Linked DNA regions of Ovis aries. The protein of the gene in region 2 interacts with the protein of the main gene of each other region in a pairwise test. Links are inferred from orthologs where the notes say so. Each region holds a gene or a part of one and is shown on either strand. Other genes may lie near its edges.

Region 1 (2,707 bases), on a different chromosome or scaffold from region 2:
CCCACCGCCCCCCCATCTGCCCCAGCTGTGGTTTCCTGGCCCTTCTTTCCCTGTGTGAAGCCCTTCACATCTTAGAAACTTTGCCCTGGCTGTTCCCTCTGCCTGGAAAGCCTTACCCAGCTCACTCCCTCACTTCCTTCAAGGCTCAGCTCACCTGTGACTGCAATAAGGCCCACCTATGCTGACCACCCTGCTTAAGACTGCCACTGCCCTCCCTACCCTGGCACTCTTGGTTCCCCACCCTTTCCTTGTCTTCTCTCCACTGCATATTGCCTTGCTGCTGTTGTTTAGTCGCTAAGTCGTGTCTGCCTCTTTGCGACCCCATGAACTGCAGAATGCCAGGCTTCCCTGTCCTTCACTAACTCCCAGAGTTTGCCCAAACTCATATCTATTGAGTCAGTGATGCCATCCAACCATCTCATCCTCTGTCACCTCCTTATCCTCTTGCCCGCAATCATTCCCAGCATAAGGGTCTTTTCCAATAGTGCCTTCTAATACACTATATAATTAACACAGCAATTGTGCGTATTATTTACTGTGTCTCTTGTAACTAAAATGCAAGCTCTAAGAGGGCAAGATTTTCATTTTTATGTTTTCACTGATAAACAACAATACTTAAATACTTCAGTAGTGCCTGACATATCAAAGGCACTCAGTAGATATTTATTGAATGAACAAATAAGGAAACCCTGTTGTTTATATTTACAAAAAATCATTACTAACTTGCAGGCAGGGACTATGTTTTCCCTCCCTAACAGAAGTGATAAGTCTGCAGTGGAGAAGCCCCAGATTTCTAAGCATCTTGTTAGCACTTCAGGCTCACACTTTCACTTCTCAGGAGCTCCTGGGGCTTTGCGGCAGTCATTTCATTTGCTTTCAGGCCACCGGTTCAAGAGTTTCCTTTCCACTAGAGAGGAATCTAGGGCTCAGGAGGACAGTCATTAGCCTGCCACCAGAGAATCCCAGTTTCCCCTGCTGCTGTTCACCAAGCTGTGTCTAAATACAACGAAGGGGCTTATGCTGGTCTGGAATTATCTCCCTTGTCACGTCCTCCCACCCCGCACCCCTCTCCTCCGCGTCTTGGTCTGGGCCCTCCAAGGTGGGGGACTGAGCTCACCGTCCCGCGGGCAGCCTCACAAATGGAGCAGCCGCTCACCTGCACGTTCCTGTTCAGGCTGACTGCCGGGAAGAACAGGCCCTCCACGTTCTCAAACGCGATGGGACCTTGCTGTTCGTCGTTGATAAAAAACGTCAAGGTTTTTCTATTGAAGTCGAGGAGGACCCCAATCGTGGCCCCCTTTGTGATCCCTCCCTCAGTTCTGTGGAAAAAGAAAACATAGGGTTTCACTTGCCCGTCCTTCCAGAAGCTCCGTTTGTATGGTTAAACCAGTTATTTCTTAATCTGTTTAAAATTCTCATTCCCTACCCCCAAAGCCTTCTAACACACTTTTCCTCTTAGTGACCCCTCCTCACATACAGTTTTAACGCCACAGATATACTGTTTATCTACTTATGTGCCGCATGTATAGCTGTGTTGTGCGGTGCTCAGTTGCTTTAGTCATGTCTGACTCTTTGTGACCCAGTGGATCATCATAGCCCTTCAGGCTCCTCTGTCTATGGGATTCTGGGATTCTCCAGGCAAGTATAATGGAGTTGGTTGCCAGGCCCTCCTTCAGGGGATCTTCCCACCCAAGGATCAAACCCACGTCTCTTATGGCTCCTGCTTTATATAAAAAAGTCTCCTGCATTGGCAGGCGGATTCATTACCACTCACACCACCTGGGAAGCCCATGTATATAAAAAAGTAAGATCTGCTTGCTCCCTGAACCAATTCTCACGTTGAAAATACACAGGTTCACTGCGCTGCTCTGCTATTGCTAAGAGTGAACCCCTTCACACAGTCTCCACAGGGATACACAAGCATCAAAGGCCAGGAACAAAAAGTAGCCTTTAGGCTACCAGAACTTTGCCTCGAGCTGTGTCTCAAGTTGTGAATTAAGCGTCATTCAATCCAAAACGATTTAATTTGAAAGTCAAAGTAAAGAGGCACTTAAGCTGAACCTAGAACACAGGCATGAAAAATTAGATTTGGGGCCTCATGCTGTTCATCAATCAGAAAAACTCATTCCAGAAAGATGGGAATTTGGGGCATACTGAAATTGAATTGAGAAGCTGGAGGCTCTCCATAAAATGGCAACATTGAACAAGAGGAATCTTCTCTCTGTAAGGTGAAATAATCGTACTTTAGGAGCTGGAGTGATTGTCACTGGAAACAAATTGTGTCTTATGCTTTAACTGATGGTTTCATAAAAAGCCATTAAGCCTAGACAATCAGATCTGTCCTTTTCCTCCTCACTGAGATCTAGCAGTACTGAACTTCAGCCTCACAGACCTGTGAGAGTGTTTTTCTTTTCCCCTTGGGATGCAGAACACAGATTGTGCACAGTCGTTAAAAACACCGGGGTATCAATGGTGTCTTGGCAGTTCCTCAGTTTCAGCAATGATGGCCCTGGTGACATGCAGTTTACATGCAAGGGGACGTGTTCTGCTTTAAGAAACTGTTTCTCTGCATAGTATGGCAGTTGTATTATTACCCCTTCATTCCAATATAAAGAAGTTGAAAGGGAAAAGTAAGTGGGGTACATGGGTGATGGCATCAGGGAGCTGGCGACAGAGGGTCCCTCAGATGTGAATCCCTGAAGGTAAC
Region 2 (4,611 bases):
TACGTTCTTTGACCACAGTAGAATTAAGTTCTGCTGATTCACGTCAGTCGTGTCCGACTCTGTGCGACCCCATAGATGGTAGCCCGTCAGGCTCCCCCGTCCCTGGGATTCTCCAGGTAAGAACACTGGAGTGGGTTGCCATTTCCTTCTCCAATGCATGCAAGTAAAAAGTGAAAGTGAAGTCGCTCAGTCGTGTCCGACTCAGCGACCCCATGGACTGCAGCCTACCAGGCTCCCCCATCCCTGGGGTTCTTCAGGCAAGAACACTGGAGTGGGTTGCCATTGCCTTCTCCAATGCATGAAAGTGAAAAGTGAAAGTGAAGTCGCTCAGTCGAGTCCGACTCAGCGACCCCATGGACTGCAGCCTACCAGGCTCCCCTGTCCATGGGATTTTCCAGGCAAGAACACTGGAGTGGGTTGCCATTGCCTTCTCCAATGCGTGAAAGTGAAGTCACTCAGTCGAGTCCGACTCTGTGCGACCCCATAGATGGTAGCCCATCAGGCTCCCCCGTCCCTGGGATTCTCCAGGCAAGAACACTGGAGTGGGTTGCCATTGCCTTCTCCGAGTATTAAGTTAGAAATAAACAATAATAACAGAAGTAGGATAGCACCGAACGTTTGGGAATTAAAGTATTTCTCAAGAATCTGTATATAAAAGAGTCACAGGGTAAAATAGAAAATATTTTGAACTAAGAAAAAAAGCCACAATATGTCAAAGTTTGTGGTTTGCAACCTAAAGCTGCTTTTAAAGGGAGATGCGTATCTTTGAAACCCTTTGAAAATGCATTTTCGGCACTCGGCTCTCACTGACTGTGCTCTCAGCTCTCCAGTTAGAAGCACTCTTTCTATTGTACCATACTCGGAACAGCTGTTTTCTGCTCTATTGGTAATAACATCTTAACACATCAATTTGCTAACCTGTCAGTCGCTTCCTTTCTCAACAGTCAAAGCCCTTCAAGGACAAGAGTTGCCATTCAGGTCGGTGTTTTGTCTCCAGTTTCTGGCACAACGCATGACGCTTGGAGGGTTCTCAGTCAGTTCTGAATGAAAGCTGGGGAGTGGATCTTACCTTCCTGAGAACCCAGTGGAGACAGGCGGACCGAGGATGATTAACCCCATTTTTCAGCAGAGGAAACACAAGCCCAGGTTCCCTTAACAAGCCGGTGACAAGGCCAGGCTTCCATCACCCCTCAGATATTTTCCTTTCAGGCCACCGATGACAGAAGTGTCACCATTCATGAGAAGCGTCTCCCTAACAGAAGTACGGAGTTCATTAGCGAGTAAACCGTGAGGCCGTCCCCAGCTGTAATGCCATCATGGCGTGTGTGCACGCTGGAGGATGGGCCAGGTGCCTTTCCGAAAGTGTCTAGGGAGCCATCGATGCTGGGCCCCCGAGTCGGGACAGGTGGGGAGCCAGGGCCTTGGCCTTCTCTGCACCGCGCCCACCTGCCCGGCCCCTGCAGAAAGTGCCGGAGTGCGAGGCTGCAGCCTGGCACACGGGCCGCCCACACTGGGGGTTCTGTGCCACAAGCTCTGTTTCTCTGTTTTCTGCCTAGGTTTCAGTTCTCAACTGGGGCTTGTTTCCCCTTTGTCTCTGGTTCAGCTTCCTTTTCCTGTTTGGTTTCAAGTAGAGTCTAAAACTTGAGTTGCTGCCTTCCCAGAGTCTGTGCGCTCAGGTCAGCTGGCCTGGCGGGAACTCGGGACTCATCTCCTCGGGCTCCCTGTCCTGCAGACTTGCAGCCATGACCACTGTGTGAGTACGGGGACCGCAGGGGACAGGGGGACCTCAGGAGCAGACCTGCAGCCGTAGCGGTGTACAGCCCGAGGGAACATGGCAGCCTCCCCAGGTCCCCCGGTTGCACTGATAGGGAGACCGAGGCCAGAGGGCAGGAGGACTCATGACCACTAGACAGTTATGGTTACGATGGAGCCGCCCGCTCCGTCCGTGGTCCATCCACTGCACCAGCCTGTGCCTCTGGTTGCCAGTTGCTGTTAGTGGCGCTGTGTGTATATGAGTGTGTGTGTGTGTGTGTGGCAGAAGCACTTCCTCAGAAGTCAGACTCCTGGCTCGGTTGGTGGGGGGCTCCGAGCTATCTCAGGGTCTGGGATTTGGCTCAGAGGTGCTCTTCTGTCTAGAATGGCCTGAGAATACTCAGGGGTGTTCTCTGAATCCTGGGCACAGAGGGAGGGACTGGGGTGCCTTTTGTACAGGTGGAGACCGCATGGGCTATCTCAGCAGAGCCCCGACCTACCCAAGGCCCTTGGAGCTGAGTGTAGGCAGCGGATGGCCTGGGCTGCGGTGGTTTGGCACGTGTGTGGGCACCAGCCAGTCCGCGTCCTGCCCTGGTAGTTGTGAGCTACTCTTTGCGAAGGTGAGATTGCGACTCAGACTTGATTCTCCCCCACCCTGAGATCCCATGGGAGACTGGATCATAAGACAGAGCTTTATCCTCTGGGATCTGGGGCACTGAACTTCATCGACTCATGGCAGCCCTTCGTCTCAGCATAAGTTATACTCCTTCCCCTTTAAAGATTCCTTCTCAGTTCCCAGACTGCTGTTTGACCAGTGTTCTCGTTTGATTCTTTCAACCATGTCGGGTGGTCGGCTCGGGAAGGGTCATCACTGCTGTTCAGGGGGCAAGGAGGCCTGGCCTCTGACCAGCCTTGGAGCTTTGCTCAGGGCCGCATGGCTGGTTGAGGGCCAGGAGAGCCTACCCAGCACAGGACAGCCATGTTAGGAGGTTCTCCCGGGATGCCGAGTGGGCTCTCTGTAGGCGGTCTGCGGGGAGTTACGACAGGGACAGAACAGTAAGGGGGCCCGTCCAACGCTCCTGGTCAGCAGGGGAGCTTTGGCCATCGCAGCATACCCCACCGTACCCTGAGGGCCTCAGCCAGGCTGCCAAGAGCCCCTTCCTCCAGGCCCAGCGGCTCACAAAGCCCAGGGACGCAGTTGGCCTCTCCTGCTCCTTTGCAGCTGGTTTTCCTTTCCTTTAACATTTACTTAGTTGGCTGCGCCGGGTCTTAGCTGCAGCATTCAGGATCTGCGGTCTTCGTTGCAGTACGTGGGATCTTTAGTTGCGCCATGTAGAATCTAGTTCTCTGACCAGGGATTGAACCCAGGCCCCCTACGTTGAAAGCGCAGAGTCTCATACTGGACCATCCCGGAAGTCCCTGCAGCCAGTTTTATATCATTTCAGTCATTCCCCTGAGCTTTGCGGGATTTGTGAGTAGAGCTGTGGCAAACAAGACTTGCCTCTTTAAAGGCACGTCAGCTTCCACAGAGGGCAGGGACCAAAGTCATCATCAGCCGAAAGCTACACTGTGGGAAGCTCAGTGTACTCCATCCTGTCTGCTGCTGAAGGCAGAAAACAATATCAGAAGGAAACGAGGAGGGAGCAGAGCCACTCCTAAACCGTTAAAACCGGAGCAGGCTTGTAAGTCTCCATCTTGCAAGCAACTCGAGGCCCTCCACCTGCAGTAGGGCGCCCAGGGGAGTGGTGCTTCAGGCACGTTAGCCTCCTCGTCAGCCAGATTCGCCCTCTCTTATCTTGTTTTAAGTATTCCTCCATATTTGTTTAAGGGGGGAAAAAGTTGTTGCTGGTGATAATACCTTGAAATCTGAAAACTACTGATTTAGTCCAGCTCTGAGGTGCACGGATGGGGAAACTGAGGCCCAGAGTCAGGGCAGAGCTTCTGTGTGAGTGAGTTAGTGGTCCAGCCAAAGCGCAGGCCGGGTTTTCTGGGGCCCCCGCCCCGCGAGGCCCCGGCCCTCAGGCTGTCAGGGGGCTGCCCCTGCAGCAGGGCTGTGGGGCCCGGCCACTGAAGAGCGTCTTGAGACTTTGCTGTCCTGTTCTGATCTCCAGAGCATCTCCTGGGATGTCCTGAGGCAGGAAGTGCCCGAGAGCCGGGCTAGACTTTGACAGCTGACCCCTTAAAAGAGAAAATAACAGCGGTACCCAGTTTCCAGTTCTCTGCCAGGCATTGTGCTCATCACGTGGTCTGATGTATGTTGTATTTAACCTCGTCCTCTGTGGTTCCCGCTGCTATTCCATCTCGCTGGTAAGGACAGGGGTCAGCAGAGTCAGCTTAACAGCTTACCAGCTCCAGGGCACACTGTTGGGAGAGGTGGGGTCTAAAGCCAGGCCTCTCGTGTTTTCAAAAGCTGAGGGGTCTCACAGAGTCGGACACGACTGAAGTGACTTAGCAGCAGCAGCAGCAAGCTCGTCTGTAACCTCTCAAAGGAACTTGCCCGGAATCCGAGTTTGAATCAAGGCTGCTAGTCTCTGTTACTCTGTGTCGTCTCCAGTTCCCACTGGTCAGACCACGCCTCAGCCCTCCTGCAGTGCCCACGTTGCTGGCGGTCATCCTTCCTTCGCCCCTCCCCTCCCAGCCTAGAGCTGCTCGGGCGCGGGGTCTGGGCCTGCCCGCGTGCCCCGGGATGGCACACACTCACTCAGGTGTCAGCCCGAGCCTGTGATCAGGGGCTCAGCTGGGCTCAGCCTGGTCTCGTCGCCAGGCTTTAAGCTTACCCTCGGAGATGCATGTACTGCCCCGTTCCTTGGCCCGGCCAGATCCCCTCAGAGGCCCCCGAGCCTGTGGACCCCTGCTTCC

Evidence for each region.
Region 1: the proteins of EVL (region 2) and TRIM9 interact in binary tests that used the Homo sapiens proteins (3 or more experiments, as listed by UniProt). The two-hybrid records come from large-scale screens. The link is inferred for Ovis aries from reciprocal best matches to the Homo sapiens genes EVL and TRIM9.

Annotation. Positions count from the first base shown.
Region 1 is NC_056060.1:42,064,780-42,067,486, forward strand, and holds the end of TRIM9 (E3 ubiquitin-protein ligase TRIM9), read right to left. Parts: exon of another isoform or gene 1,320-2,707; coding exon 1,016-1,319; 3' UTR 623-1,015; downstream 1-622. UniProt on the Homo sapiens protein: E3 ubiquitin-protein ligase which ubiquitinates itself in cooperation with an E2 enzyme UBE2D2/UBC4 and serves as a targeting signal for proteasomal degradation.
Region 2 is NC_056071.1:62,672,979-62,677,589, forward strand, and holds the start of EVL (ena/VASP-like protein), read left to right. Parts: upstream 1-1,666; 5' UTR 1,667-1,742; coding exon of another isoform or gene 1,743-1,753; 5' UTR 1,754-4,611. UniProt on the Homo sapiens protein: Ena/VASP proteins are actin-associated proteins involved in a range of processes dependent on cytoskeleton remodeling and cell polarity such as axon guidance and lamellipodial and filopodial dynamics in migrating cells.